Nothobranchius furzeri: one gene and its partners. Each later gene encodes a partner of the first gene's protein in a complex. Links are inferred from orthologs where the notes say so. Each region holds a gene or a part of one and is shown in the gene's direction. Other genes may lie near its edges.

What was found.
Region 2: pigp (region 1) and pigq share a complex: the UniProt entries of both Homo sapiens proteins name them as parts of the glycosylphosphatidylinositol-N-acetylglucosaminyltransferase (GPI-GnT) complex. The link is inferred for Nothobranchius furzeri from reciprocal best matches to the Homo sapiens genes PIGP and PIGQ.
Region 3: pigp (region 1) and phosphatidylinositol N-acetylglucosaminyltransferase subunit Y share a complex: the UniProt entries of both Homo sapiens proteins name them as parts of the glycosylphosphatidylinositol-N-acetylglucosaminyltransferase (GPI-GnT) complex. The link is inferred for Nothobranchius furzeri from reciprocal best matches to the Homo sapiens genes PIGP and PIGY.
Region 4: pigp (region 1) and dpm2 share a complex: the UniProt entries of both Homo sapiens proteins name them as parts of the glycosylphosphatidylinositol-N-acetylglucosaminyltransferase (GPI-GnT) complex. The link is inferred for Nothobranchius furzeri from reciprocal best matches to the Homo sapiens genes PIGP and DPM2.
Region 5: pigp (region 1) and piga share a complex: the UniProt entries of both Homo sapiens proteins name them as parts of the glycosylphosphatidylinositol-N-acetylglucosaminyltransferase (GPI-GnT) complex. The link is inferred for Nothobranchius furzeri from reciprocal best matches to the Homo sapiens genes PIGP and PIGA.

What each region holds. Positions count from the first base shown.
Region 1 is NC_091756.1:33,915,507-33,922,150, forward strand, and holds pigp (phosphatidylinositol N-acetylglucosaminyltransferase subunit P), read left to right. Parts: upstream 1-2,584; 5' UTR 2,585-2,753; intron 2,754-2,837; 5' UTR 2,838-2,840; coding exon 2,841-2,922; intron 2,923-3,678; coding exon 3,679-3,751; intron 3,752-3,838; coding exon 3,839-3,957; intron 3,958-4,065; coding exon 4,066-4,181; 3' UTR 4,182-4,609; downstream 4,610-6,644. Other genes in the region: rexo4 (RNA exonuclease 4), read right to left, coding at 1,339-1,485, 1,569-1,873, 1,947-2,144; si:dkey-197c15.6 (putative nuclease HARBI1), read left to right, coding at 5,642-6,338. UniProt on the Homo sapiens protein: Part of the glycosylphosphatidylinositol-N-acetylglucosaminyltransferase (GPI-GnT) complex that catalyzes the transfer of N-acetylglucosamine from UDP-N-acetylglucosamine to phosphatidylinositol and participates in the first step of GPI biosynthesis.
Region 2 is NC_091745.1:17,746,329-17,752,518, forward strand, and holds part of pigq (phosphatidylinositol N-acetylglucosaminyltransferase subunit Q), read left to right. Parts: intron 1-1,770; coding exon 1,771-1,897; intron 1,898-1,973; coding exon 1,974-2,127; intron 2,128-5,279; coding exon 5,280-5,391; intron 5,392-5,757; coding exon 5,758-5,838; intron 5,839-6,190. UniProt on the Homo sapiens protein: Part of the glycosylphosphatidylinositol-N-acetylglucosaminyltransferase (GPI-GnT) complex that catalyzes the transfer of N-acetylglucosamine from UDP-N-acetylglucosamine to phosphatidylinositol and participates in the first step of GPI biosynthesis.
Region 3 is NC_091744.1:85,182,601-85,187,651, reverse strand, and holds phosphatidylinositol N-acetylglucosaminyltransferase subunit Y, read left to right. Parts: upstream 1-2,234; coding exon 2,235-2,447; 3' UTR 2,448-2,743; downstream 2,744-5,051. Other genes in the region: pyurf (protein preY, mitochondrial), read left to right, coding at 591-793, 2,001-2,142; triadin, read right to left, coding at 2,983-3,117. UniProt on the Homo sapiens protein: Part of the glycosylphosphatidylinositol-N-acetylglucosaminyltransferase (GPI-GnT) complex that catalyzes the transfer of N-acetylglucosamine from UDP-N-acetylglucosamine to phosphatidylinositol and participates in the first step of GPI biosynthesis.
Region 4 is NC_091746.1:70,783,625-70,790,492, reverse strand, and holds the start of dpm2 (dolichol phosphate-mannose biosynthesis regulatory protein), read left to right. Parts: upstream 1-3,013; 5' UTR 3,014-3,113; coding exon 3,114-3,116; intron 3,117-6,868. UniProt on the Homo sapiens protein: Regulates the biosynthesis of dolichol phosphate-mannose. Regulatory subunit of the dolichol-phosphate mannose (DPM) synthase complex; essential for the ER localization and stable expression of DPM1.
Region 5 is NC_091754.1:25,445,244-25,452,155, forward strand, and holds the start of piga (phosphatidylinositol N-acetylglucosaminyltransferase subunit A), read left to right. Parts: upstream 1-2,657; 5' UTR 2,658-2,788; intron 2,789-3,315; exon of another isoform or gene 3,316-3,418; 5' UTR 3,419-3,454; coding exon 3,455-3,892; intron 3,893-3,973; coding exon 3,974-4,244; intron 4,245-5,730; coding exon 5,731-5,863; intron 5,864-6,111; coding exon 6,112-6,244; intron 6,245-6,912. UniProt on the Homo sapiens protein: Catalytic subunit of the glycosylphosphatidylinositol-N-acetylglucosaminyltransferase (GPI-GnT) complex that catalyzes the transfer of N-acetylglucosamine from UDP-N-acetylglucosamine to phosphatidylinositol and participates in the first step of GPI biosynthesis.

The sequences.
Region 1 (6,644 bases):
CTTAATTAAACTTACTTAGTTTACTATAAATTACTACAATACTAAACTATAACTGACTAATGACTGGAACATAATAAATTATATGTCCAAATGTTTGTTATAAAACTGGATCATTTAAATAAATGGGCTCTTAACAGGAGGAACTACAAACAGGAATATTACACCAATCTAGAATATTAAAATGTCACTGTGTGATATTTAACCAGACCCCAATCAGCTAAAGTTTATAATTGCAAACAGAAACACCTGTAAAGGTTACTGAGCCTTTAAATGGTCTCTCAGTCTAGTCAAATTACTGTAATAAATGTAATTTTGCAAAATATTCTCATTTTTCCAGCTTGACATGATTGTGTGTTTTTAGCAGCATTTCTGTTGCTGGTAATCTAGTAATGGTTAAATAAATAAATAAATCCTTTAAAATGGCACTAGAAGTGGCACAAATCTGATGGAGGACTTAAATTTACTAATTTGGATCAGACCCAAACACAGAAGCTGGGTGGTAAAGACACACAGGTAGTTCTAATAACACCTGAGCACCATGACGTCTGAGACTGATGCATCAGTGTTACAGCAGGGCTAAAGAAATGAGCAGAAACAAGTTACAGTTGGGTGATCTAGGAAGGTAGAAGATCGTGATGTCCGAGCGGTGAACAGGTGAGCGGACCTTCGGGACGTCCCGCTGTCACGGCAAGAAGGGCACGGCTGCAGATTCACGCCTGCAGCAGCGAATCTGCGGATCTGCAGCCGTAGACTATTCATCACGTCTTCCTCGTTCTTCACGGGTCGTGATGCACTTGGATTAAAACATCCGCCTCTTCAGCTCCCGAGCAGCTGACAGCTTCAACACACCACGCTGCTGAATTACTAACGCTCGCATTTTCTTATCAGTAACGTAAACGGCGTTATGATAAAAGAAGACGATAATTAGATTACTCGTTATTAAAAAAAACTATTTTTTTAGTAATGCCGTTATTTTAAACATTGTTATTCCCATCACTGCTCGACTAGATTTTTTTATTTTACTTCTTTTTTTATTTCTTAAAATGTGTATACATAGAGCAGTTGCCTTGCAGCAAGAAGGTCCTGGGTTTAGTATTTATTTTGATACTCAGCACAGTCTATTCTAGTACTTGTGGTTCTAGTCATAAATCCAAAATTTAAGGAATGAATTTGGAATGGGTGTCCACCAATGACTACACTTTAGCTTTTAGCGCCAAACTTGAAAAAATTTCCTTTTAAACTTTAAATGTTTCACACAACGTGTGGTCAGTCATATCCTGGAAATAAAGTCCTGTCCAGCGTTCACACTAGAGGAAGCTTGTTTTTACAGCTACTCACCCCTCAAAACACTTCTCCTTCACCAGCATGCTCTCTGTGTCTTTGCTCTGGTGTTTGCCCTGTTTCCTCCTCAGGATCTCTGCAGCTTCTGCTCCCAACGTCTCCTCAGCATCATCAGGATCTACATCATCGAACCAAAGATCGTCCCTGCAACAAAACACAATAAAGAGTTAGGAATACAAAACTACTCTGGTCCACAATGTCTTCTAAAATCAGTACGGTGTACACACTCTGTAGGCTTCCTCTCCTCTACCACTGGTTTATTCCTCTTGGCTTTCTGCTCGCTGTTGGACTTTCCTTTGTCCCGTTTCCTTTTAGGAGCAGCTGGCTGCGGAGTGTTGGAGGCAGCTGGAACATCAGAGTTCACCTCTGATTCCTTTTGAATGGCAAATTTAGGAGCAACTGTGTGCTTGACTTTAGTCTCATTGTCTTTTTCACTGGGAGTCTTGGGAATATTTTTTAAAGTTTTCTTTGGAAAGACATTCTGTTTGGGTGACACAGGGAGCTTCTTCTCTGGCTTACTGGCATTTAGCATCTGTGGAAGGTTTCAGAAAAATCAGATTAACTTTGTAAATACACACCAGCATCACACTGATGCACAGACAAACCTCTTGGAGAGCTTTCCAGTTAGAGGAGAACTGCTGAGCCTCCTCTGGAGGTGTAGGCAGGTGAGGTTGGTGCTTCTGAGGAGCTGAAATCTTCTGAAATTTGTTTTTCGAGTTGTGTTTTATCCAAAACTCCTTCCTCTTAACTTTAGCTGTGGATTTAGGGTCAGAATGTGCTTTCTTCTTCTTCGCCTTAGACATTATGGAAAGTGTTTTTTAACAAGAAGTTGTTAAACTAAACGTTGTCAGCCATGCTGACATTTCAAAAACAATAGACAATGGCTGTTACCGCTGTCACTTAAAGTAATGTCTCCTTACCAAAAATCTGCATCAAAAATAAAACACTAACGTAAACAAGCAGCTCATTTTTTACAGAACAGCAGATAAACGTGGTTCTGCGTTCAGTTCGCAAATTCCGAAGCCATGCTGCGTTCGTTTTCCCGGCTGAGCAACAGCCAAATGGGTCCGATATGAACAAGACATCCCAGTATGAAACGTTCTACATAGTTTGAAAGCACTCTAATATTCAAATGTTTATTTTCTGTAAATATGTACTAAATCATATAAATTAGTAAATCTTCAAACAATTTAATTTGATGTCATATTTTTGTCTAGTGTATCAAAAGCGGAACTGCTTACCCGGGAAATTTTTCCGACCGAACTAACGCTGGTGCAAACTCGCAGCTGTTCTTAGGTTTTGTTGGAAATGTTTCCTGTTAGTATTATTTTAGAAATCCAGCTTTATTTACTCGTTATTTAGAAACGTAGGGGCACAAATGTTGTGAAAATTCGGAAATTTTATGAACTGAGGTAAGATGACAGAAGTATTTAAGGATGTTTTAGACTCTGGTTTGTGTTGCTTGCTTATTTCCTCTGCTTCCTGTTTGGTTTCAGATCATGGTTGAAAACTCTCCGTCTCCTGTCCCCGAGAGAGCTATTTATGGGTTTGTTCTCTTCCTTGGCTCACAGTTTGGTTTCTGTAAGTCAAAAATAATTATTTTATTCTGTTTTGCACACACACACACACTAGAACGCATCTTTTAGGTGACAGGTCAAGACTGTTCTTCCTGTATAAAATCAGAAGTAAATGATCTTTATGTTTACCTGTAAATGTGTCTGTAGTGTTTTGTTTTATTTTTTATATTCATCCTAGCTAATACACAATCTTACGTTTGTCTTGTGTTTTTAAAAGCTGACACAAGTAAAGATGGAAGACAAAACACAGCGGTGATCTCAACACTTTAAAGGATACACCTTTGTTAATTTTTTTTCACAACTCCCATGTGTGGTGTCAGGGTTAGCGTCCAAGCAGCAATGCCCCTAAAACAAAAACAGTTCTATTTGTTTGGACATCTCTGCTTTTGTGGCAGCTCTTTTCTACCTTTATGGCAGCCATCATATGACTGATTGACCATGTTTAAGTTTAATTATTTAGTGTCCGTGTTCAATTTAAACAAATGTTCGACTGTTTAAAGAAATGTTATTTGATTAAACTCCTAATCACACATTTGAATGTGAGGTTAGATTATTTCTATTAGAAGAAAGGCTATTTATTATGATAATTTAGCTTCTCGTATGTTTTATTCCTCAATGCACATCATGACCTGCTGACATAAATCAGTGCCTGCAGTCTCTTTAAAGTCAAATGCTAGCTATAGTTTCCCAACTCACTGAGTAATTGTGATTTAAGGGACTGAAGATAAATAATAACTATATTTCTCCTCCCTCTCCACAGTTCTGTACTGCTTGTGGGCATTTATACCAGAGGAGTGGCTGCATTCAATTGGACTCACATACTGGCCTCAAAAGTCTGCATCACCTTTAAAATCCAGATCAGATTTCCCACCGACATTTGGCATTTGGGATTTCTAACAAAAACTCCCTGTTCTGCACAGATACTGGGCTCTTGCAATGCCAATCTACCTGCTGGTTGCAATATCGGTGTCATTTTTGGTGTTGTTTGGGATAAACATGACCAACACTGCTCCACTGGACTCTGTGGACAACATCACAGGTGAGGTCTGATAGCATCCCAGCTGTTATCTATGAAAGGAATAAGTGTCAAATAGCAGTTTAAAAACTAAATATTTAGTGTACATTTTGTCTTGTTTTTGTGTTACAGATGTATTCGCACAAGGCCAGAGGGCCGACAGCGACTGCAAAGGCGGAGTTCCTCGACTTAAAGATGTGTCCGTTAGTGAGGTCAACAGAATGTTTTATTTGTCCCCTGAAACATAATTGATAAACTGAGTTGTTGGCAGAGTAAAACTATCTGTGTTTTACCTGGTTTGTGTTTTAAAAAACTGTTAAATGTGTAATATATGATTTGTTCTTCAAAAATAGCCTCACAACTATTTTACAATACCCGTCTAACCTTTTGATTATTTTCAGTTTCATGAAACAATCACAGATGTTATATTTATCATTTAGTAAATATAAATGTAGAAAAAAGATCATTTTAAAGCTCAGTTTACCTGCTGGGATGACTTGATGGGGAAACAAGAGTCAAAAGAGCAACAGTAAATAACTTTGTGTTATTATGACTGGTTGTTACACTGATGATCTAAAGCATAACTGAAACTGTATAAAATATCTTCGTTTGTGAGAAACGGTGAAGTTTAAATTGTAAAAAATGAAGTAAAGTTTCCTGACAGAGAAACAAGGCATGTAAATCTCTTCTGAGCTTTATTGTAAGGTGTAATTTAGACAGGTGAAACGTGATAAATTACAAACGGTGCAAGTTTTCAATAATTCATCTTAAAAGATAAAACTACTATATGAGACACTCATTACATGCAAAGCCAGATATTTTAAGCCTTTATCTGTTATAATTGTAATGGTTATGGCTTGCAGCGTATGAAAAATCTCAGACAATTAGAATATTACATCATATCAATAAAACAAGGATTTTAAATAGAGAAATGTCAGACCTTTGAAAAAGTATAATCATACCTGTGTACTCAGTATTTGGTTTGAGCCCCTTTATTGTTTATTGAATTAAATGAACTTTTGCACGATTTTCAAACTTTTCAAATTTCACCTGTATGTGTAAATGAAATTTTCTTGCGTTTAAGCCACTTTTTTTAGTGAGTAACTGCAGAGATGGGTTACTGAGTGTGGGACTTGAGAGGCTCTTAAAGCTGCTAAAAATAACTATTGGGCATGACTGTGTAGTGATGATATGTTCAGTGTTTCTAAGCATGACTCATTTGGCCAGTGAAAAGAAAGAACATTGTTATTTTGTACTTATTTTAGTTAAATAAAATTTAAATATAGCATTTTAGATTTGTTTATTCTTGAATTTGGGGTTTAGAGCTATTGGAGTTTTCTCACACCATCTTAAACTCAGTAAAAAACAGATGATGATTAAAATCATTTTTGCAAAAATGGTTAAATCAAGGAATTAGTACATTTTTCTGCTGCATGAGTATGTAATAAATGGACTTGTATGGATGGGAAATAAATGTCACTGATGAAGACCAGATTGATTATTACAGCACACACTCCATCTGATTCTGCACAAAAACAACTGGTGACGCGGCTGACCAGCAGGGGGCGTCAGCGCGCCACGTTTGGATCGTCTCTCAGAACGAAGAAGAAAAGCTGTTTAGCTTTTTGAGCGGTTGCTTCGCATCCGTTCCACATTTTTCCCTTAAGTGTGTCAGCCGTACCGACATTTACACCGAGACGTAGAACAGATGGCCTTTGCGGTACCGGTGTGGCTCGCCGTCCAGGAGGAGATGCTCGGCAGCTTTGAGCCCGAGGAGGAACAAGATGGCGCTCCACCTTGTTTCGACAATTTCTCCGACGAGGCTTTGTTCGAGAAGTTTCACCTCTCCAGACCTTGCATCGCGTTCATCTTAGACTCCGTGGGCACACACATGAAAACGGTGGACTCCACGAAGCGCCACACGTCCGTGGACGTGATGCTCATGATCGCGCTGAACTACTACGCTCACGGAGCCTTCAGCTCGTCCGTCGCTGGGAACACTTGGATGAGCCAAACGGGCAACTTGAATTCTGTTGTTAAAACTATCTCTGGAGTCTTAGCGGCGATGTGCAAAACGTTCATCTCCTTCCCGCTTACAGCTGAGGCCAGAAGCAGAACCGCCTCTCAGATCGAGGAATTCTGCGGGATCCCCAACGTGCTGGGCGTCCTGGCTCCAGCACACTTCAAGATCAGAGCTTCTCCTTATGACAAGACCTCCTTCAAGTCCTTCATAAACGCACTCGGTTACACTTCCGTCGTGAGCCAGTTTATCTGCGACTCCGAGGGCAACATCCTGAGTGTGGAGAAGTGCTGCGTGGGGAGCTCGTTTGAGCAGGAGATGTGGGAGACCTCCTTCAAAGGGAAGGAGGTGGAGAACGAGCAGCACGGACCGTTTTGGTTTATTGGTGAGATGCAGGAAAAATACACTCCGTAGTTAAAACAACAGCTGGAACGTGTCCCATGTTCCCTAAACTCACAGTTCATTTAATATTTAGATCAACAAAACCACCCAGTCCCTACAGTTGGTGTTACTAAAAAGGACAATGAAGAGTATTTGTTGGAGCGAGTGGACAAAAGTTCAAACATCTGGTCAAGTCTTCAAAAGATGCTTCAATTGCTTCTAAAGAAGGTTTTGGAGGGTTGAGTAATTAAAGAGCAAGTCACCCCAAATCAATGTTTAATTTTTTTGGGCTGATAAACTTTATAAATGA
Region 2 (6,190 bases), on another chromosome or scaffold:
ACCCGTGAAGTAAGCAGGTGAGACCAAGCAGCACTTATTGAAATCTGATCGTGCTGCACAAACGAAGGATGGACACAGCGAGGACAGAAGTGACAGAGCAAAGTAAAACCTGTTTTTTCTTTTTGTCCTTTTAGTGAGTTGCTGATTCACTAAAATGGAACAAAGTCACTCCAGAGGAAACATGTTCAGGATTTCTAAAACAATAAACATTTTCGTATTCCCAGTCTGCACCCTCTTACTTTTACTTTTTTTACTAATGGGAAATAATGATAATTGAAAAGAAAAGAAATAAATAAACAAGTTTCTGATTTCGGTCCTGATCGATGGACTCCACTTTCTCCTCACTGTCTGATGCGATGGGCATTCCTCAAGGAAGCGGTGCACCGTTTAAGAGGATTTTGATTGAGAGTTTTTAATCTGAATGTATCTGCAGCAGGATTCTAAAGCATCTGACAATGTGTTTGTAAAACTCATCACTTTAAGAGACGATGGATTAGATTAGATGGATGTTAATCATCTATAAATGGTGCAGAAGTCTGTTCTTGAGGGCTGAAGCCTAATTGTCATTTATTCACATCCCTTTGGTAAATTTGGGCCAGAGTTAAATCAAAATACTGCATGTACACACACACACCCTTCCTCATTTTGGTAGTGGGTGTAAACACATAAATACTCCAGGTGGCTCTTCTTCTGCCTCATCAGGAATAAACCCAGTGATGAATCATTTGCAGCAGACCAGATTACTGTAATTTCCGGACTATAGAGCGCACCTCAATATAAGCCGCACCAACAATAAAAACGGTTTTCTACACACACACGCTGCACTCAAACACAAGCTACGGCGCAGCAGCCGCAGGTCTCCAGCGCACAGCGCATGTACGGCCATAACATGAGATAATTAGACAGAAAGACGCTACACGGAGGTTTTTCGTTGTTTTAATTCAACAAAAGGAATTTTAAACACGGGTGAACGTGCCTGCAAGTTTAGAAAAGAAAACAGCGCTGATAGCATTCATATTTCTGGATGGTTATACAATAAAAACAGAGCTGACACGTTATTACCGGTCATTTGCATGTTTAGAAGAAAAGAACAGCGCTGACACAGCATTAATAAGCCCTGGATGATTAGAAAATAAAAACTGCACACAAAACATGCCTGGTTAGTAAATAAAACACACCTGCCTACCAGAAGAAGTCATTCGCTCTCATCTTCCTCCTGCGCTCTAAAGCCATTAAAGTCCTCTTCTTCAGTGTCGGAGTTGAACAGCCTCAGAAGAGCTTCGTCACATACCTTTTCTGTGGCGATGTCCGTGTCGCTGTCATCATCCCGGGTGAAGCTGGCTTGAATGAGTTCTTCCCGCTGCCGTCTGCAGCGCCGAACCATGGATTCATTCATGCCAAGCTTACGTGCGGCAGCGCTGTTTCCCTCCTTTACTGCCAGATCGATGGCCTTCAACTTAAATGCGGCATCATATGAACTCATACGTGTAGTTTCCATAATGAGGGGGTATGGATTTGAAACAAGTTCTTCGTCGTGCCGGCTGCTTGCATGTGCTAAATTAAAATGAGCACTTTCTTCCATTTCCACTTTTGACTTCCACCTGTTTCACTTTCTGCCTAAACGCCCCCTAGTGGCAGTTGAAGGAAAATCTTCAGTAAAGCTGCACCTCATTATAAGCCGCACGGTTCAAAGCGTGGGGAAAAGTAGCGGCTTATAGTCCGGAAAATACAGTAATAATATTTTGTTATCTTTTGAATCCTCCTTCTCAGCATGTGGCTCAGCAACTGGAGGAGCTGCTGCAGTGGCTGATGGGAGCTCCAGCTGGGCTGAAGATGAACCGGGCTCTGGACCAGGTTCTGGGCCGCTTCTTCCTTTATCACATCCACCTCTGGATCAGTGAGTCCACGCAGAGTTAGAACAGAACCTCACCAACGCCCCCTGCAGGCTTCAGCGTGCCATCTTGTCCTTACAGGTTACATCCACCTGATGGCGCCATTCATTGAGGGGATCCTGTGGTATGGAGGTCTGTCAGCCTGCTTCGGGCTGACCTTTGCCCTTTCGCTGCTGTCTGACATGGTGGCGCTGTTTACTTTCCACATCTACTGTTTCTACGTCTATGGAGCCAGGTACTTGAGATTTATTCGACGGCAAAGCACAGAAAGTTAACATGGCTTAAAACACTCGGGGAATTCTACGTTTACTTCAGACTGACTGACACCAAAAGACCTGATCATCATTACAATAATATGTTGGAATATGTTCTTTTTTTTACTTTTTTTTCACACACCTTAAACTACCCCAACTTTGATTTCTAGTTTCCATCTTTACTGTAAAAGGCAACTTAAAATATTATCAGAGGACTGAAGTAGGTCCAGCAGCATCCGGGCCGTCTCCTAAAGGTGGTCCGGCTTTGGGATCAAGTCTCCACTGATGCAGATCTTGCTCAGGAATGGCAGCAGGCAGGTCTGCAGCAAATAAAACACCTTTCTCCCTGAACCCATCAGGGAGGGACAAGCTGAGATTCAGAAATTATAAACCTGTGCTCCTCCACCAGCGACCTGCTGAGGTCTAGAAAAATGCGAGCAACACTGCAAATATAGACTCTTGCATGAAGCTAATGTCACTTTAAAATGATAAGTTCATCTCATTAAATGCCATTAATTCATTTTCAGTTTCTAATATTTGACAAAAAGATTTTATAAAATTGAAGCACATTACTCATTAGCCCCGGCCTGCCAGACTCGTCCTGTTTAACTTTCGCTTCCAGCCTGGGGCGGGCTGGTCAGGCTATTCAAAGGCTAGATGTGAAAATTAAGGTAGCCACAGTAAAACACCTGCAGGGGGCAGCGTTCCTGTTATGAACTTTAAATAAACTATTGATTCTGCCACATTTCTTTGTGTAAATAATAGAACTACACTAGTTTCAGACCTGAAGCGTGACTATTGGACATCAATAAAGAAAATGCTGAGTCATTCACACAGAGGAAGGACTCAGAATTGTTTTTATTATTTCAGCTTCTGCAGCAGCTGCAGACCTGGGTGTTGTGTTTACATATTTGGGTCAGAGTTGGAGAAGAATCGCCTCGGCCCGGCTTGTGGTTCACTCTCTCTGATGAGATGTTTGTGTGCTAATTACGTCTCAAGCAACAGCAGTCATAAAAAATCATGTCTGTGTCCTCATCACCTGTGTCTCCTCTGACCTGGAAATGACATCTCGAGGAAAGTCTGGGATCCTAAAATACACCTGGAGGGGGGGGGGGGGGGGGGCACAGGTGTATGTGTTCTTCTTCCGGCTCTTGGAGGGTGCAGATGCTTTTGTCCTCCTCTCCTTCATATCTTATCCTCAAGGCCATTGCCTGTCGGTGTGTGTGCTGGGTGCACTGCTGCTTCTGCATTTTTCTGGAAACTGAAATTCACTAAAATGGATCTCGTCAGTTGGTCTCTCAACGCGATTGATAACATTTTTTCAACGATGAGAACGGGAGAAGGGGCTTCCGGATGCCCCACCGGGACATACCCAGTTGGACACATCATGGACTCCTAGAAACAGTGGAACTTGATTTGTTTATCTCAGCTGTCTGTGGAGGACTCTGAAGATGTGTGGATATTGGTGTCGGGTTTCCTGCTCATTGGCCTTGGAGGCTACCTGGCTTATCGGAAAATTAACAAGCTGTTGAGGAATATTGGCCTGATCCCGGAGCTCAGAGATGGTTTGCACTGCGCTGTAAATTCACAGACTCACATAATTGTCAAGATGAATCGTAAGCTTGGAACTTTGGCCGAGATTCATTCTTTGGCACAAAAGATGGATGCCATCAAGGAGAGAGTGGACGAATCAGCACGGATTGGGATAGATTAATGTCCATTATTGGGAGGTTGAGGACTAACAAACTGTAAGACAGAGAGGAAATTATCTCTGTCTGGCCCCAAAACAATTTCTAATCGGAATCTGGTGTCCTTGAGCCTGCAAGGCTCCAACGAAAACTCCCCCCTCAGAAGATATGTGGAATGTGCCGTCGCTATGGCAACTCAACTCTGTCTCCTATCCCAGCCTGGGTGGGACGGCGGGAAGGCCGCTTAAACGTTCCAGGGTCACTGCAACCCTCCAACCCTCAATGCTCCTCTCCCTATCCACACTGAGGTGACATGCGCTGCTTATCGTGGCTGCAGGAACTGAAGTGTGGATAGTCCCAACCCACCACCCCACCTAGTGGACACTTATGTTGTGTGTTGTCTGAAGTCTGTTGCATCTCTGTCCGAGGTGCTTTTTGCAGAGCAAAGCTGCCCTCCTGGTGGGAGGGTAACTCTGAAGTACCTTTTTTCCCTCCACCTGAACCAATCCTCATGTTACCCTCCTATCTCTATTAAGGTAGCGCGACTCAGGGTTGCGAATGACCACAGTCGCCAATTCTTGTCATGTGTCTTGCCCATATATGTCTGATCTCTGAATTGTGTGTACTGAAACTCTAATTTCCCTCTGGGATTAATAAAGTATCTTTGATTTGATTGATTTTATTTATTTATTTTTTTTTTTACCACAGATGACTTCGACGATGTGTTTTTTTGGCACCATTTACCAAAGAACATTTGTCTTTCTCTAGAAAAGAAACCAGTGATAGTTTTTAAGATGTATTTAGTAAAATGTGTAAATCTGTGTCCCACATTACGGGTAAACACGTTCCTTTTGGTTATTTTCCTTTTTCAGTCTGAAGAGATAATGGCTGTGATGAAGGCCTGAGCACTGTGATAAAGGAGGATGGATTAAATTATGTATTTGATCTAAAGATGGTGCTCGCTCACCCGCGGTGGAATTAAATATTTCTCACTTTTTCTGTTGCATATTTATGCTCCACCAGCTCTCAGAATCAGGCTCATTGTGTCTTTTAAATATCCTTTGAGGAGCTTTGTGAGTAGAAAATCTAAAAATATCCACGCCGGTTATCACAGCAGGAGGAGGTGAAGGAGGAGGCGTCGCTCTCTCCTCCTCTGAATTTGTGTGCTTCTGTCTCTCACAAGATTAAAACTCAGGTGTGATTTTATGGATCGTTTTGTGGTCAGATTTTTGTCTCCAGAAACAAACTTCTGATGGTTTTTAACACCAGAGTTCATTGTTTCAACAGAAACTGTCTCTAGAGGAAATCATAAAAGTGAGCTGCTGCTGCAGTGAGAAAAATCACCAGATCTGAGGAGAAACTTAGTTTTATCATAAACTCAGAGACCAGTGATGTCACCTTTGACCCGGTAAACTGGCCCAGACGTGTGCTTGTGTCTTCTTCAGGTTATACTGTCTGAAGATCTACGGCCTCTCATCTCTCTGGAGACTCTTCAGGGGGAAGAAGTGGAACGTCCTGAGACAGAGGGTGGACTCGTGCTCCTACGACCTGGACCAGGTGTCACTTTCTTATTTCTCTATTTATTATTATTTTTTAAAAACTAAAGAAACTCAGTAGGATCATTTTTATCTTTGAAGTCTCATGTGAGGCTAAGATGTTTACTTTGGTTTGAACATTTATTTGAAACTCTAGAGGGAATAAAGCAGTCTTCACTAATTCATCACAACATAGAATTCAAAGACAACATCAAGCAATGGAGATGAAACTAAGAAGATTGAAAAGCATTTTACTCTGAGATGATGTTATTGTGAATCGATGTTATATGAAATTGAACATTTGTCTAGAAGAGACAGAAATGCGGACAGACACACAGACAAAAACATTCTGAAGACAATAAAAAAGCCAGAAGTGTTTATGTTCCAGCTCTTCATCGGGACGCTGCTCTTGACCATCCTCCTGTTTCTGCTGCCCACCACGGCTCTCTACTACCTCGTCTTCACTCTGGTAAGACCAGTCTCGATAGCAGATGGCTCTATAAAAATAAATAAATTAATAAATGAAAATGAAAAGTGGTCACAGATCACTCACTGTTCGGTCACTGTGTGCTGCTGGCCCCGTTTGACACCAGCTGGTCTCGACTAAGATCCAGTTCTCTCGTTAAACCAGAACAGCCGATGCGTTCAGCAGTCGGATTAAACTGGGAGCTGACGATTCCACAAAACTAACGTCCTCCTGCAGATTTCTGAACCAGGAACTACTGATTATGTTTTCACTGCTTTGGATTAGGATTTCATGGTGGTGCAGTTGGTACCACTGGTACCTCACATCATGGAGGTTGCAGGTTCAAACCCCAGCT
Region 3 (5,051 bases), on another chromosome or scaffold:
TATTTAACACTGTACAGTGATAACCTGCTGGGAAATCATGTTCACTGCATCTGTGGAACAAGAATACAAATAGAAACCATTGCAAAGTCCACAAACCGTGTTTGCACATCAGATAATTTATTTTAAAGTGGACAGGACCCAGGTCATAGTTTCATTCTGGTGAATCAAATGCATCGAAGGTCAGAAACCATCCAAGCAATATCATAAAGTATACACTTGAAAATGTACATTTTCTCTGGATCAGAACCTTATTTTTAGATTTTTGGTTTTGCCTTTGGAGAGACAGCCGTAATGAGATTTAAAAAGGTGAAACACTGCCATCCAGTGGACAAATGTAGAAACAAGCCTTCTTTAATTTACTGTAAAATAACCAGAACTATGGGATTTTAGTTTCATGTCTATTAACATTAAATAAATCGGATAGTAATTTAAACGTCGATAAACATTTAAATTCATTTGTGGGATTTTTTTTTATCCTACCTCGGAAGTCAGCGGACATATTAAGAGGTTCCGGCTCATGTTTTAGTGTTACACCAAAGCTGGTACTTCCTGTTGTTGAGTTCGCCGAGCTCGCCGCGCAGGACTTGGTCATGTTTAGGAATGTTGTGAGCAGGCTCGTGACAGAAACGTTTCGTTTTGATCGTCATGTGAAACGAGCCGCGTTTAGACCGTCGTTAACGTCCGCCCGAGTCCCGGTGAGGAGTCTGACCGACGCCAAGGACGAAGTGCAGCCGCCTTTCGATTCCTCCCTGCTGGACTTCCTGGTGTGTCCGCTGTCCAAGAAGCCACTCCGGTAACGGCAACAAAGTGTTTCAGAGTTCATCTGTTTTGATTTTAGTTTTTTAACTAGCGGCGTCCTTTCTAACTTCATATAAAAGCATTAAGACGTAGGCACGCGCTTGTCCTGTACCGCGGTGAAGTTAGCTTGTAGTTGGACGTTGGATCTTCGACAGACGTTGGTTCGCCCGGTCAGCGACACTGCAGCTTTTAGCACATTTCGCAAGATCTGATCATTATTTTTAGGATTTAAATAAAAAATGAAGTGATTTCTTTCAAAAGCTGCCAGGTTAATTGATTTTAATACCCAAAACCATTCCTAAATGGTGTTGCTAACTAAGCCAGACCATTGAGACACAGCAGTTTTTAACACCTTTCATACTAACTGATCTTTTTTATTAGGATTTTTATCAAAAATTAAGGGATTTCTTTCACTGGCTTAGTAACATCATTGGGAAATTGTTTTGGGCGTTTACATCAATTAAACAAGGATGTACTATGTTTGAATACATCCTACTTAAGAATTAGTCAAAGCTGCATTAGAGGCAGTGTAAAGGTGAAATCTACCCCCCCCCCCCCCCCACACACACACACACACACACACACACACACACACCGTCGTTGTCTTCCTCCGCTTATCCGGGTCGCGGGGGCAGCAAGAACCTACCCAGCGAGAGCTGAAGGTCAGAGCTGGATGAAGCTAGGAGGACCACATCATCCGCAAAAAGCAGAGACGAGATTCTCCTGCCTCCAAACTCGACACACTCCACACCACGACTGGCTCCGGCCACCTTGCGACCACAGCTAGCAACAGCCGCCTTAACAATCGCAGAGTGGAACAAGGCCCACTCGGAGTCAATGTCCCCCACTGGTCTCGGGACGCGGTCAAAGCTCTGCCGGAGGTGGGAGTTGAAGACCGTCTTGACAGGTTCTTCTGCCAGGCGTTCCCAGCAGACCCTCACTATGCGTTTGGGTCTGCCAGGTCTACGCGACATCTTCCCCTGCCATCTGATCTAACTCCCCACCAGGTGGTGATCAGTTGACAGCTCCGCTCCTCTCTTCACTCTGGTGTCCAAAACACACGGCCGCAGGTCGGATGATACGACTTCAAAGTCTATCATCGACCTGCGACCTAGGCATTCATTATTAGAAATGACTGAACCAACGCATAAAACAGTCTAATCTGTTTTCCAGATAACTGATGTTCTTTTTCTTTCCTCTAGGTATGATGCCAATACCAACGAGCTGATCAATGAGGAGCTTGGCATCGCCTATCCCATCATCGACGGCATCCCCAACATGATCCCCCAGGAGGCCAGACTCCTTCAGAAGGACACAGACGCTTCTAATCCACCTGCACAGTAACAGAAAGTCTATCAAAGACCTTCATTTGCCAGAAAACCGATTGAGCACTGCTATTTTTTTAAAGAAAAAAACTGTAAAGCTAATCTGCTAGAATGCTCTCCTTGTCCGTGATGGTGGGACTGGTCCCCATCGTGTCACTCATTGGCTTGTTCTACTCTGCAGCCGTGGATGAGAACTTCCCTCAAGGCTGCACCAGCGGCAACAGTCTGTGCTTCTACAGCCTGCTGCTGCCGGTCACCATCCCCGTCTACGTCTTCTTCCATCTCTGGAGCTGGATGGGGATCAAGCTCTTCAGACACAACTAGGATGCTCTCTGAAAACAACCCACGGCATGTTTTCTGATGCACTTTTACCTCCTTTACCAACTTCAGTAACATTATTTTCTTTATTTCATGTCTGTTAAAGTCTGCTAGACTTGGGTTTTACTTGTCTGGAAGTTTAGGCTTGCAGGTAGGACTCATAGTAACCGAGTCCGTGTAAACGCTAACTGCTACTGAACAAACTCCTGTTATAAAATGGATAAATGTAACCGATTTAACAACTGAACTTCTTGGATTTTTCCAGTTCTTGCAGAAAAGAATAAACAACTTTATTGGAATAAGTTACTTTTATTTGATAAAAACATTTTCACACAGAACAGCTATTTAATGTCTGTTTTATGAAATGTGAACGTACTTCAGGGAGGAACAATCCAGCAAACATGCCTGTACTTCAAACACAAACTATCATCTTTTCATGCAAAACAAAACAAGTTTTAAAAAAGCTCGAACTTTTAAGCCTTTGACCCAAAATGCTCCGAAACAAACAAGAACAGCTTTCATCGTACGTTCACGTCCTTCCTTAGTGACACTTTTTGCTTTTAGGGTTTCTGCCCTGAGAAAATTTGGTCAGCGGAGACTCCGGCCGAGGCGACTGCCATTCTCCTTTTGTCTTGAAGAAGAAGGGTTTGTTTAGTCTCAGCTGGACCGCTCCGACCTGGGGGGGGGGGGAGGCTCTCTGTTAAACAGTGACACTTGTAAAAAGAACCACAGTCTGATAAAAGCATGAGAGGTTTGTGATACGTAGCATATGATTCAGGGCTGTCCAACTCGGACCCTTTAGATCTACCTATTGGGCCATTCCCATCTGTACCGGGTCGGCCCGGGCCGGGTAGCATAGGTTGTTTACATATCTGGGTGGCCTGGTATTTTTCCGGGCCAACCAAGGCTCATTCTCAGCCCTCTTCTCGAGGGGGTCTGCTTCAGGCCGACCAGGGCCAACACACCCACTGCTGACAGCAAATTCACACCTTCCATTAGAGCAAGCCTCTGATTGGTGGGTAGAATCAGCCCACATGGGCTTAAGACAAGGATGTGTGGAATCAACAGGGCCAGGCTGGGGCCGACTGGGGCTACCCGGCCCCGTACAGATGGGAATGGCCCATATCCATCGTGTTTTAGTGTTTTTCTGCTCCAGCACAGCTGACTCTGTGACTGAATCACCTGTTCAGCAAGTCACCAAACTCTGCAGCAGCCTTTTCATCACACAAAGGTTAAAGTCAGGTGTGCTGAAGCAGAAAAAACTGCATTTTAAAGATGCCTACACACACAGTCACACTAAAAGCTGTTTAAAATCTCCATTCACCCAAACGTGTATGCCGCAGCTAGATTCCTCACAAATACCTCCAGACGTCGTCGCATTACTCCCATCCTCGCCCGTTTACACTGGCTACCTGTCATGGACGTAATTTTCACTTTAGAAGTGGGGGGGACACGGGGGTCTTTACAGTATGTTCTAATGGGAAACAGGCTTCAACACAAACGATTGTTTTCCGCTTGGTCTTAGAGCTCAACCAGTGTCAATTTAATATAGCGTAAAATTGTTTTTGGACGGTAAAACGTGCAGGGGTCAAAACTTGACTTTGGAAAATGTGGGGGGGGGGGCATGTCCCCCCCAAAAATTACGTCCATGCTACCTGTGCAGTACCGGACACAGTTCAAAATCATACCTTTTGTCTATAAAGCATTGAACGGCCCAACTCCCACCTACCTCGCTGAACTAATATACAACCGTATGCTCCTTCTAGATCCCTTAGATCAGCTACTGTGCATCCTCGTGGGGAGCGAGGATGCCCCCAATCTCTGGAATGCCCTCCCCCTCCAAGTACGACAGGCCCCTGCATTAGGCTGTTTGAAGTCGGCGTTGAAGACCTATTTTTATCACCTTGCCTTTGGTCATTGACCTATTTTTACTATATCCTAGGACTGACTGCCTTTGGTGTTTTACTGTGCTTTCCCTGCTTTTCTTTTCTCATATTTTTTAGTCCCGTGTTTTATGATTCATTAGTTGTTTATTCGTTCCATTATTGTTGTGATGGCGCTTTTATTTATCTTATTTTTAATCTTATCTTTAGGTTGTTTGATTTGATTTTTTTATGGCGCTCCTCTGTTCCTTGCTGTACAGCACTTTGGTCCGCTGTCATGCTGTTTATACATGTGCTCTATAAATAAACATGGTGTGTTTGGGTCTAGCGGAGCAGATGTGGTTAAAGAGCAAGTCACGCCTAAATTAAGTTGTTTTTACTGATAACCTGCAGTACACACGTGTAATGATTAGTGTGGCAGTTTAGTAGCCTAGTGAACTAGACCAAATTCTTGCATTGCAAAGAATGTCTAGGCATGCTCCATTGGAACCTCAGCAGCTCCTACCAGGACTCTGGCTAGCCAATCACAGCTCTCTAGAGGGGTTTCAAACACATAAAGAGCTGTGATTGGTCTATAATGGTGGGCCAATCATAGTGCTCTATCTGCTTAGTGAACAAATCACAGAGCTTTATCTGCTTTGTGGGCCAATCAGGGCACTCTATATGCCTGGTGGGTGGGATGATGCAACAGAGTGAAACAAGAGTATGTCACATTCATTGTCCAGTG
Region 4 (6,868 bases), on another chromosome or scaffold:
TTATAGCTCCTGAGGAAGCTGAAAGCTAAATGGTCGTAGCGTTAGCTGCTAATGACCTCACCCCGTTAGTTTCCCAACCCCGTTAGCTTAGAGTTAACATTATTAAACCTCTGTGCAGTGACAGTCTGGTGTAGACACCTCCTAGTTTTCTGGTGTTTCATTTCTCCAGAAGCAGATAAAAAAGATCTTCATCTGCTAAATCTGTGTTTTGGAGCTAACCGCCTTCCTAAATAATCCAAGTTGACATTAATTAAGTAATGAAAGGTGGAAAAAGTCCAGTGTGGACTCCACTAAGTGCTTTGGAGCTGTTAGCTTGCTAACACCGAAGCTAAGTGCTCGCCCCGTAATCAAAAGGTTGCAGGTTTTAGCCCTGCTCAGTCTGTCACTGTTGTTGTGTCCTTGAGCAAGACACTTAACCCACCCCCCCCACCCCCGGCTGCTGGAGGTGGTCAGAGCGACCGGTGGCGCCAGTGCTCGACAGTGTTGTAACACGCCTTGGGGGGTTCCAGGACTCTAGAAGGCGCTATATCAAAAACAGGGTTATTTACTGTTTAGCTGCTAGCAGACCTGCTAGTTGCTAGCTTCCCTGTTTTTGTGCCGAGTTATTTATTCGGTTAAAGTTTTAACTCTTTACTGCTAGCATGCTAGTTGCTAACTGCTCCGCGGTATTTTTATACCAACGGAAGGAAAAGTGTGGACACTGATGATGTTTTTGTAAATCAAAGAAACGTTATTGAGGGAACATTTAGATGAACTGGTTTTAGTATCTAGTTTTTTTTTATTTGGTGTGTAGGTTAAATGACGAGTTGGAGCTCAGATCCTGTCCCTTCTCTTAAGTGAGTCTAAAGAACCAGAACCAGACCGGGTCTCTGTGAGGCTGTTGGTACCAGAGTCTAAACATCCAGTAGTCTGTGGTTCTATTGGGCTGAGTTCTGGATGCTTCCCAACCATAAAAGGGACTTTTGTGTTTGTTATTGGGAATTCTGGTTCTGGTACCGTGGGGGTGGGGCTTCTGCTGAACTGAAAAAACAAAGTTCTGTTAATCATTTTGTTCTGATCTGTTAGGATGAGTGTTTTCTGTGGAGACTGTAAACAGAACCTTTACAGAGTCTTCTGGACCAGCGAGCTGGTCCTCAGGCTGGTTTTACTCAACAGAATTTACTCCTGCGATGTTAACTTCCTGTCTGGTGGTGTTAAACTGGTTTCACTGGGATTTGGTTGTTTTAACTCTGCTGCTGCTTTAATTCACAGATCGGCGGTTTGAGGAAATTCTGGATCCACTACTTTTTATTTATATGTTTTTTTATTTATATTTAGGGAACGATTTAACCAGATGATGATTTAGCTGAAGGCAAATGCCAGAAGATTGTATTCCTATAAACCTTGGAACCACTGTAGGGTTTTATAGGAGCTGTAACTGCTTTTACCTCCTTTTGTAAACATAATTATGAAAGTCACGTGAGATCTGATATTTTATGTGTGTACTCTGTGAACCAAATGTAATAAAACCTGTGGTGATTTTCCATCTCTGGGTTGAGATTGTTCCATGCGGTCATAACTCAAATATTTCTGAAGTTTATTTCATTTCATCCATAATTAGATTGTCCTTTAGCTTTTGTTCAGTTAATGTCTTGTTTCTTTATCAGGGAAAGTTTTCCTTCGTTTGAAAAACTGGAGAGGATTCAGAAGTCTTTCATCCACAGCAGTTAAAAGTGAAGTCCAGCACGTTGTTCTGGTGCGTGTGTGTAGGTCGGTGTAGGTCCAGGGCAGGAAACCTGACGGCCTGGTTGGAAACTACTAGAAGCTTCCTGGATGAGAAGCCACACGTCTTCAAGGGAAACAAGAAGAGTCCTGTTAATTCTAACGAAACTTTCAAGATTGTAGTTTTAGTAACTAAAGCACATTTTATTTATATAGCACTTATCAGAGTCACAAAGTGCTTCACATAGATCAAAGCAAAACAGTGTTCGCTAACAGAAATGGATTCACATCAGAAAAGTAAAACAAAAAAAAGATGATTAGAAATTCGGGGGGGGGGGGGGGCGTGTTTTTAGTTTCCTTCTATAGGAGGATCTTTTGTGACAGCAGTGCTTTACCGGGACTTTTTTCCACGTTACGATGACTACCGGTAGTCTTTCCGGTCATTTATTAGGAGAAATCTCCGAGATTTATAAAAGAATCATTTGCCAGCCATCCTGTGTGTGTGTGTGTGTGTGTGTGTGTGTGTGTGTGTGTGTGTGTGTGTGTGTGTTCGTTCGTTCTGTCTTTTCCATCCCCAGTGAGTCGTGGTGGATGGCTGCTTATACTGAGCCAGGATCCTCTGGAGGTTTCTTCCTGTTAAAAGGGAGTTTTCCTCTCCACTTTCGCTGCATGCTTGCTTAGTATGAGGATTGCTGTAAAGACTCTGACACTAGTCAGTGACTCGATGCAACCTGCTGGGTTCCTTATATAGGAAACTTGTTACTGATTGGCTTAATGTACTGACCTGTACTGGAATGTTTACTGTGTGCAGGCCCATGAGACGACTCTGATCGTGATTTGGCGTTTTATAAATAAATTGAATTGAATTGTTTGGAAGCGCGCCACGCATACAGCGCCATCAGCTCAGACAAGAGGAGAGAATAAAGAGACTCACACTGACGTTTTCAGCTGTCCCAGAGCTCATATGGGCCTTAAAAACGTTCACCAAGAATCAAAACTTTTTCTAGTTTGATGATAAAAGTTCTGCTGATTCAGAGAATGGCCAGCTGGACCGGGAGGTCGGTAGATTAAAACACACTGAATACATTTGGTGACCTGACATTCAAAAGTATTAAAGGGGCCATTTTTCACCAGATTAGACATGTTTGTCCTTAAAGACCACCACAAGACCTGCCTCGCCACGTGACGGGCGTGGCGTGGTACACTCAGACTGGAGTAGTGTATTATTATAGTACTAGTGTGTACTCATAAAGATCTATAAAAGTCTTTAGTTCTGAAACTCCTTTTAAACCAAATGGAAGCTGTTGCAGTGGTCGACCACCAGGTGGCGGTAGAGATCGAGTCTTTCTGAGGGATTTAGAAAACGAAGAAGAACCCGGAAGTAAACAATCTTTCAGTACGGGGCTGCGACAATGGTAAGAAATGTCAATTATTTACAAATGAACGCAGTTTTAAACGGACAGGTGTTGTTTTAAAGAGGGCTTTACTTTGTGGTTTGTGTGTTTAAATGTTAGCTTGTTTAAGCTAATTTTAGGTTTTAAGTTTCGTTTATTTTGAACTCATTTTAATGACAAAAATCACGTTTTAAGTCTGTTTACGAAGAGATGGACTGCCTTTTTCTTTCGTTACGTTTTTGTCGGGTTTATTTTTTCCTTTTAAAGTTTATTGTCGTGCTTTTTTAAAGACATGCTGATGTTCGATCCGTCGCCAGTGCTGCGCTGTCCACCCTGTTGTTTTTCACTCAATCAGTGAGACACCCTAATGGAGAGAGAACATTCTGGATTAAATCATTTATTAATCCAAGAGATGAGGACGATAATATAAGGTCTAACATTTTGGGGTAATGATTCATTTGGAAAAAGATATAGATAACTTCATCAAAGTAGAAGGTAATTAAGAATAAAGCGATTTTCTGTTTTTTCTTTTTTTTTTTATCTGCACAGTTAACTAGATAGGAAGAATGATAATTTTCAATCTTTTATATTATACTACTTTTTTACATTTCATTTTTATTTATTTAGTTATTAATTACGATTATTATTTTTTTAATTATTGAATTTATTCAATTTTGTTTAAAGACAGTAAAAAAGTAGTTAATTATTAAGGGGCAGTGGAATATTAGCAAAGCTTAAGGATTCATTAAGGACACAGGGAGCAGGGAAGAGCTAGGCATAATGCCAGTCATTTAAGTTAGCAGATCTTAAAACGGGGATCTGTACATGGTTAAAGTTGGAAGTGGAACATTTGAGTGGGTTACTCAGAAAATGGGTGGGTGGGGTTTTTTGTGTTTTTTCTTAAGAATGGTTTGTTCACTTAAAGTTCGTGTTTTGTGTTCCGTTTTGTTCGTACTCTCAGACAAGTTTAAGCATTTAGAAGTGCATGTGAGGTGTGATGACTCGGGAACTGGAAGTTAAATGTACCTCTTGGAATTGTAGAGGCTTAAAAAGTACTAAAAAGATTAAGCAAGTAATGACCAAAATGAAAGATCTGGAAGCTAAAATAATTTTTCTTCAGGAGACGCACTTGCTGGAGGAGGAACATATTAAGGTTGGCAGGAGGTGGCAAGGTTCGTTGTATGCAGCACCATTTAGATCCAATGCTCGGGGAGTAATCACATTAATACATAAATCAGTACCTTTTCAGGTTAAGAATGTAATCAAAGATAAATTTGGTAGGTATTTGATCATCCAGGGATTACTTATACAAGAAACCATTAACTTAATTAATGTATATGGACCAAATACAGATGATGATGCATTTTTTACTAATCTTTTTCTCACAATTTCATTACTCCAAGGAAAATGCATCATAGGAGGGGATTGGAATTGTGTACTGGATCCCTGTAAGGATAGACCAACTGGGACTGACCAGGCCCATAACAAAAGCCGAAAAACAATTCTTAACTTCATGAAGGAACTTCAGTTGATTGACATCTGGAGACAGTTAAAACCTGACGATATAATTTTTTCCTGCCATTCAAAAACATTTAATACATATTCCAGAATAGATTATTTTTTAGTATCAGCAAGCCTACTATCAAACATAAGGACATGCTCATATGACAGTATATTACTATCGGACCATGCTCCCTGCAATATCATATATACACATAAAAACTTAATAATGGAGCGTAGATGGTGTTTACACCAGAAATGGCTGAATGATGAAGAATTCCTCACTTTTGTAGAAAAAGAAATAGATGAATATTTTACTATAAATGGTTCACAAACATCAGCTAGTATTAGGTGGGAGGCATTTAAGGCATGTTTACGGGGAGTTATAATTGCATATACTTCATCGAAATCTAAAGAAACATGTAAAACAAGACAGCAAATGGAAAAGGAAATTAAAACTCTAGAGGAACTAGTATTCAAAAGTAGAGACCCAGTAACAGAGAAAAAATTGCTAATACTAAAAGCACAATACAATAAAGAATCGGCAGATAGAGCGGCTTCGAACATTTTGAGATTAAATCAGTCTTTTTATGAACAAGGAGAAAAACCTGGAAAAATATTGGCATGGCAAATTAAACAATTGGAAGTGCAGAAAAATATAACATCGATTGTAAGCAGCAAAGGGGAAATGATAATAGACCCGATGGAAATAAATAAGGCGTTTAGAAACTATTATGAAAAACTTTATGAATCTCAGGATAGATCAGATCAAACCTCCAGAAATGCGTTTCTGGATAAAATAAATATTCCTACTATTGCAGATGACTTAAAACAACAATTAGATGCAGAAATCACCGAAGGGGAAATAAGCAGGGCAATTAACAGTATGAGTTCAGGTAAAAAAGCGGGACCAGATGGATTTCCAATTGATTTTTATAAAAAATTTAAAAGTAAATTAGTGAAACCATTATTGGAAATGTATCAGGAATCATTACACAAAGGAAGTCTTCCTAAATCAGTAACGGGTTCGCAAATCATTTTGCTACCTAAGCCGGGAAAGCCGAGTAATAAATGTGAAAATTTGAGGCCGATAAGTTTACTCAATTCCGATATTAAGGTGTTAGGTAAAATATTAGCTACACGTTTGCAAGGTACTCTCCCCTCAGTAATTCATAGAGATCAAAATGGCTTTATATTGGGACGCCAAGGTCTGCATAACGTAAGAAGAGTCTTTAACATTATAGACGGAATAAACAATTCGTCAGAGAGCGCCTTACTCTCGCTGGATGCCGAAAAAGCATTCGATAGGGTCGAGTGGCCCTATCTTTTTGATGTTCTGACTAGATTTGGGTATGGAGATGTGTTTCGAAGATGGATACAATTATTACATTCAAATCCAACTGCTGAAATCTTGACAAACAAAAATGTCTCTGAACCAATAAGGGTGAAACGGGGATGTCCACAAGGCTCACCGATAAGTCCATTGTTGTTTGTATTAGCTATAGAACCCTTTGCTATAGCCGTACGTTCGAGTTTATCGGTGACAGGAATTATGGTGAATGAAGTAGAACATAGGATCTCGTTGTACGCTGATGATGTAATAGTATATCTCTCAAAAATAAAGGAATCAATACCTGCTCTGCTTAGATTGATAGGGGAGTTTGGTCAAATATCAGGATATGTCATTAATAAATCTAAATCATCCGTTATGTTGCTAAATGAGGAAGAAAGGGACAACCCACCCACAGTAACATCCCATTTTAAGACAGTAAGGGACTTTATGTATTTAGGGATACGGATTTCGTCTAAACTAAGTGAGATTGTGGAAAATAATTATGAAAGACTTTCTAAAGAAATAACAGAGATAGTGGACAGATGCATATCTCTACCAATTTCTTTAATGGGTCGGATTAATATATACAAAATGAGTATACTGCCAAAGGTGCTTTATGTGTATCAGAACATCCCCTTGCCGCCTCCTGTGGATTGGTTTAGCAGGATCAAAAAGCTTGTTCTCGGTTTTTTATGGCAAAATGGGAGACCAAGGATAAGATTGTCATTGTTACATCTACCATACAATGAGGGTGGTGTCATGTGTCCAAATATTGAGTGGTACTACTGGGCATGTCAAATAAGGTCTATAAGATACTATTTTGACTTAAATAACGCCCCGCAATGGTCAGAGATGGAAAGTATGAATTTGCATCCAACATTACCATTATATTTTTTCTCAGACACAGCAGTAAACTTGATTAGAAAGGCAAAAAACCCAA
Region 5 (6,912 bases), on another chromosome or scaffold:
CATGCTGTCAGGAGCCCACCTGGAGCGGGTACTCCATGCTTTTGTAATTTCTAGGCTTGATTACTGCAGCTCTCTCTATGCAGGGTTGTGTCAGTCATCACTGCGTCGCCTACAGGTTGTGCAGAACAGCGCAGCCAGGTTCCTGACTGGGACCAGGAAACGGGACCACATCAGTCCGGTTCTGGCCTCCCTGCACTGGCTTCCGGTTTGCTATCGTTCACACTTCAGACTCCTCGTCTTTGTTTTTAATTTCTTCCAGGGTGGTAATCCCCCTATCTGGCCACGCTCCTGAACAGGCATTCCCCATCACGCGCTCTGCGCTTCTCTGACCAAGGCCTGCTCGTTGTCCCTCGTTCTAGGTGTCGTACTTGCGGGGACCTGGCTTTCTCAGTCCTAGCACCGTCACTATGGAACCAGTTGCCACCCTCAGTTAGGCTGTCCCCATCTCTGCCAGTCTTCAAGAGTCGCCTAAAAATCCACCTCCTCCGCTTGGCGTTTCCTGAGCATGTTTGATTTTGGCCCTCTTTTATGTTGATTTCATCTCACAGTTTTCATTGGTACACTTTTTCCCTTGTTTTACACATTTGTCTTCTACTAGAATTTTTCACCTTTTTTGTAATTTGTAATCTGTAATTTGAATTGCTTTTATTTTCTGATTTATTCACTTTATTTAACTTTGTATTGTACCATGTTCAGCGCCTTGGGCTTCCTGACAGGGTTGCGGAAGGCGCTTTATAAATAAAGCTTTGATAGATTGATTCTAGAGCCCTGCACTGAAGCCCTAGGCCCTCGGGTCGGCCCGGCCCGACGGCCCTCGGGCCAGGCTTCGGGCCAACGACTGTGTAATTACCTCGGACACTGGCCGGGCCGGGCGCCTTTATTTTTAATCAAATTCATTAAAAAAAATTGAAACACTTAAACCAGGGGTCGGCAACCTGTTCCCATCAAAGAGCCATTATTAAATGGAAATGTTGGTTTTGTGTATATGTCCCTTTTCAAACAGCTGATCTCCGAAGAGAACATCATTGATCAGCTCAAACAGTTAAAGTCTCTGCACATGTAAATATTTTATTGCCTTCATTTTATTATTATGAATTTGTAAAGATTCAGTGTCATGTATTTGCTACCAGTATAGATATTGCTGTAAATGTTTATAACCATTTTTTGTAAAAAATATTTTATTTATCTTCATGTGTACATTATGTTGTTTATTCAGATTATTGTTGCAATTTTGTGAGAATTCTGTGGTTTTGAAGAGGTCTGACAGTAGAATTGATGCATATCAATGATAATTGATGTCAAAGAAAAACATTTAGAATTTTTTAATTTGATTTTTCTTTTCTTTTTTGGGGTGCGTGGGACAAGTGTGGGGGTAGATATTAATTCTGATTCAGACATCTGGTGCTTTTGCAGAAGATGAAGAAAGAAAATGTGAAAGTGTAAAGTTTTCAAGGTAAACAAAATTAAAAAATAGGCATAATGCTCCTCAGGAAGGAGCAAAGATTGCCACTGCCTCCTGAAATAGTAACTATTGTTGTTTGCTTTTGTGTGATACCTTCTTTTTTGTCATTGTTGCTGTGTGAAAACTTTCAGTTTTTGATGCACTCTGTGAAACCTGACAAGACTCAGTGGATAAAAAAAGAAAACGTAAAACATGAAAAATATGTTTACAAGCCTAAAATAGTTGGGATTTGAATTTCAATACTTTTCTAATAAATTCTGAGAAAACAAATCTGGTGATTAATTTCCCTTGTTTCTTACTGAAGCAAACCAACTTGTTTGGTTATCATTTTTAGTATTTTTTTGCTCATGAGCAGGCCCTTTACTATAGTGGATGATGCTAGCTGAACAATATTTGATTTCATGGCTAACCAAACACCTTTCACACTCAAATATTTTAGTCTTAAGAAGAAGAAGCAATATTTTATATTGTGCCTCTCAGGATAAAAATCAGGAGGCACTTCACAAGAGCAAAAAAAAATTTTTTTTTAAATGATTAAATATATCACAAAATGAGAAAATTTTAAAAATTGTAATTTTAAAAAATGTAAGGAAAGGGAAAGAAAATTAAGAAAGATGTAATCAGTGGATCCTGCAGAAGTGGTAAAAAACAAAGCTGAATAAGGAGAGAGTATGAAGCTCACACAAAAACACCAAAGGTCTGAACAGGTGAGTTTTCAGCTGCTGCACTTCAATACTAAATATACACCTACATACAAAGTTTACAGTAATTTATAATATTGTTATCCAAAAACAACATTCTGTTTACCAAGATTCTTGGGAATAAACACATTCCAAGGTGGTGTATGCCTAGAAAAGGTTATAGTAATCATTGTTTTGATTCTAACAAGTGAAAATATGACTGCAGCCAAAAGTGAACATTTTTGAAAGTTTATGTCCAATTATGAGCATGGACAGTGCAAAAATCAGTGGAAAACTTGCTGTTTTCCTAAACATTTGTAGCATTTTCTCTCATTTGAAAAAGTAAATTTGATTGTATATTCAACAAATATTTTGCTCTTCTTTTTTTCTTTCTTTTGTGTAGCCCCCGTTTTAATACCAACTTGATTTTTCTGTTGTTGTTAACAACGTTGTTATTTTCTAGAGCGCGCCAAAGCTTAGGGTCTGGACCGCGCATGCCTCTTGCGAGTGACGTAGGGCATCAACAGGAAGTGCGACCGGCAGCTAATCTGCTAGCAAAGAGCTACGGAGTTGACATGAATCTTCAACAAAACCAGAGTCGTTTTTGTTTTCACCGATTAGAACAAGACTGACATTTAATTTCGCGGTAAGGTGGCTGTAACTTTAAACAAGTATAGGATGCAATATTTGACTTTAAGTATAAACTATGGGTTTATTAGCTTGATAAAAACAGACGCTAGTTACCGGTAGTTATTATTCAAAATCATGTCTGAGTTACATTTACTAGTCATGACTTGTGTCGATGAGCCACGGTTCCTGTCAAGTACATGGTCCTAAACGGGAGATTCGTCAATGTGAATAAAGTGTGCTCATTTTAGAAACGGTTTCAATCCCTTTTAAACAGGCACAGACACCCTCCAGCATTAGTTTTGGTAAACTGAAGGTGTAGAAGTTGTTCAGTGTAATCATTATGAATCATTTAAATGTAATGGTACTAGCTGTTTTCATTGTTGTATTGTAGATTGCTGCTATTAAGAGTTTTGGTTTTATTAACAGAGGTTGAGAAAAGTAATAATCACAATAAGTTTTGAGAAAATTAGCTAAAATTCTTTAGGAATATAATGCTATATAGAAAAGTATTGATTAAAATGAAAAATGAATGTGACACAGTTAAATTTGAGGAAAGAGATTCATAAAATAAGTTTGACTTTCATTGTAATTAATTGTTATCTTTTGCTTTATGTGATATTATTCGGCACATCATAAATTATTTCAGCTCTGATTGATTGAAAAGCCACAGGAGGACTGCACGATGGGCCAGCGAAGGAGAGCAGGAGCAGTGAAAACTCTGTCATCTGAAAGAGACTCCGCAGATGTTGCCAGAATCTGCAACAGGAAGCACAACATCTGTATGGTGTCTGACTTTTTCTATCCAAACATGGGAGGAGTAGAAAGCCACATTTATCAGCTTTCTCAGTGTCTGATTGAAAAGGGACACAAGGTGGTAATTGCCACTCATGCCTACGGCAGGAGGAGGGGTGTGAGGTATTTAACCAATGGACTGAAGGTCTACTACCTGCCCCTGCAAGTGATGTACAGCCAGTCCACAGCCACCACCTGCGTCCACAGTCTCCCACTGCTGCGCTGTGTGTTTGTCAGGGAGCAGATCACCGTGGTACACGCACACAGTTCATTCTCTTCCATGGCCCACGATGCACTGTTCCACGCCAAAACCATGGGCCTCAACACCGTATGTGACTCTAAGCCATGTATGTCTCCCTTATTAATAACACACAGTTCAGTAATGTAAATGTTTTTCTTTTAATACCAGGTGTTTACTGACCACTCACTTTTTGGCTTTGCTGACCTCAGCTCCGTGCTGACCAACAAGCTTCTGACAATTACGCTGTGTGACACCAACCACATTGTGTGTGTTTCCTACACCAGTAAGGAGAACACGGTGCTCCGGGCTGTGCTCAACCCAGAGATCGTGTCTGTCATTCCCAATGCTGTTGACCCTACAGATTTTACTCCTGACCCGTCCCAGCGGCCAGCTGACAGGATCACAATAGTTGTCATCAGCCGGCTCGTCTACCGCAAAGGTACCCAGACCCTGTTGGGTTGGATGTTGTCATTCTTTGCTTCTTTTCTGCTTGTTTATAATGTATGTGTTGGTTTTGTTTGCATTGGAACATTGTAAAAATGTAGGCCAAATAGGCCAAATTTAGAGCATTTCACAGGTTACTCCAAAAATGTACTGAATAAAATTGACACAAGTATTTTTAAAATTGTCAAACAATATCAATCATGCGAGGCTTTTTTGAGTTTGAGTTTGCTCATCTGGAGCGCCTAACAGCTAGAATGGAAGATGGTTGACCCAGTTGTCGTGCAAACTGCACTGACAATCAAGAAAAGGAAGAACAAATATCTGGGGAGTCTTGAAAAGCATTAAAAGTTAATAAATTTATTTGAGGAAAATTAAGATCCTTAAAAAGTATTTAAATATCTTGAATCAATTTAAAAAGTCTTAAATTTAGTTAGTATTGATGTGTATTTACCATAAGGTTGTATAAAAATAGATGAAAGTAAACTAATATCATAAAATAATTATTTGTTCTTTCATGCCGGCTTTTTGCTTGCGTTTCCGTAACACGTGCCTTTACGTACCATTGCTACAGCCCTGCTATCATGGACGTGACATATCCCGCCAACTGATGAAGTGGTGCTGAATGCTGCTGTTGTGTCCTTGGGCAAGACACTTAACCCGCCTTGCCTGCTGGTGGTGGTCAGACCGTTGGCGCCAGTGCTCGACAGTCTCACCTCTGTCAGTGCGCCCAAGGGCGGCCGTGCCTACACTGTAGCTCATTACCACCAGTGTGTGAATGGGTGATTGTGTTGTGAAGCACCTTGGGGGGGTTGTAGAACCCTAAGAAGGCGTTATACAAATACAGGCTATTTACCATTTATTTGTTAGAGCCCAGCATATACCCTGTATTACCTGATGCCTTTATAATAATTAAAAAAGCATGGAAACTCCCAACATTTTAACCTCACCTCCTGGGCTCATGATGCTTTGTGATTTTTATCTTGAGAGATATAAATACAAAAGATCGTTTTCTTTCTTTCTTTATTTTCCTTTATGTAATTTGTCTGCAACACAAAGGAACAGAAAGCACACAGCTCTGTGGTTAAGCTCCCTTTCTCTGGAATAATGACTTTCAGTCAATTTCAGTTCCAGTCTACTGTTTCTGAGCCCTACTAATAAAAGTGTGGGTCATAGGGTCAGATCAAGAAAGTTGGGTTTCTCAGATATCTGTTAGTAGTTTCAGAGCTGCACAATAAACAAACTTCAAAAGGTCATTCTGAACAAATCCCCGTGGGATCATCTCCAGACTTTTAACAAAAACAAAGTGTGAAAAGAGTATAAAGGAGGAAAAAAGAGATCGATTGCAGGAATAAAACTGCTTGTATGTATATATATATATATATATATATATATATATATATATATATATATATATATACACACACACATAGCTGAATAAAAGGCTGCTGTACTTTAACTGTAAACAAACCTTCTCTGTTTAGGAATTGATCTTCTGGGTGGGATCATCCCAGAGCTTTGCCTCAAACATCCTGATCTTCATTTCCTGATTGGCGGAGAGGGACCAAAGAGGCTCGTGCTGGAGGAAGTGAGAGAGAAATACCAGCTGCATGATCGGTAGGTTGGATGGGTGTAGTTCCTGAGATTGTGGAAGAAAAATGCAAAACTTGACAACTAAGAATGTTTTATATGTTTTTATTATGGCTGAAATGACATTTCAATGTTTTATATTTAGAAGCGTTTCAGCGTTGGTGATTTTTATCCTTTAAGTTTGTCTGGTGAAATCAGTCGGATCTGATCCAAGTATGCCTTTAAAATTGTTTTTCTGTTAATGAGGCTAAAATATTTTTTTCTGTTCGCTGAAGAGTTCGTTTGCTCGGAGCTCTGGAGCATAAAGACGTCCGCGGCGTTTTGGTTCAGGGACACATCTTCCTCAACACGTCGCTGACCGAAGCCTTCTGTATGGCCATCGTGGAAGGAGCCAGCTGTGGCCTGCAGGTCTGTTTTTATTCAAAGGTGTAAAACCAGCAGGACTTGAGTGGGAAAAATCTGATAATTTAGTAACATTCTTCAGTTTAAGTTGTTTGCTTATCTTTTTAACCCTTGGAGGTTCCTTAAAAAAAGCTACACTGGGGACCCTCGCACAACAAAAGGCATTTTAGCAAAATGTATAAAAAATATAATTTCAAAATTCAAAAAAAAAATTTCACTGATTCTATCCTTAGCTTCAGTCCTCAACAAACATAGTAAAATAATTGAGAGTTTTTGAGATTTAACTCCTTTAGTGCCATATTTTGTCAAAAAAATCAACTGTATAAAAAACAATAATTTTTTGTGTGTTATGTCCACATCACTTCTTCTGGGGCTGAATTGTGAGGGCTTTGGAGAGTCGCAAATGAGCAAAAAATATTTTTTGTTTTCTCTGTTTTTTCTGTGTAGTGTCAGATATTCAGCAAAACTCACATTCAGGTCCCTCGCACAGAAAAATGCATTTTAGCTAAATGTGTAATAAAAATTATAAAATGTTTCAAAAGTCAAAAATCTTTTACACAGATTATTTTCTTAGCTTCAGTCCTCGCAAAACATAATAAAATATTTGAGTGTTTTTGAGATTTAACTCCTTTAGTGCCATATTTTGTCCATCCATCCATCCATCCATCCATCCA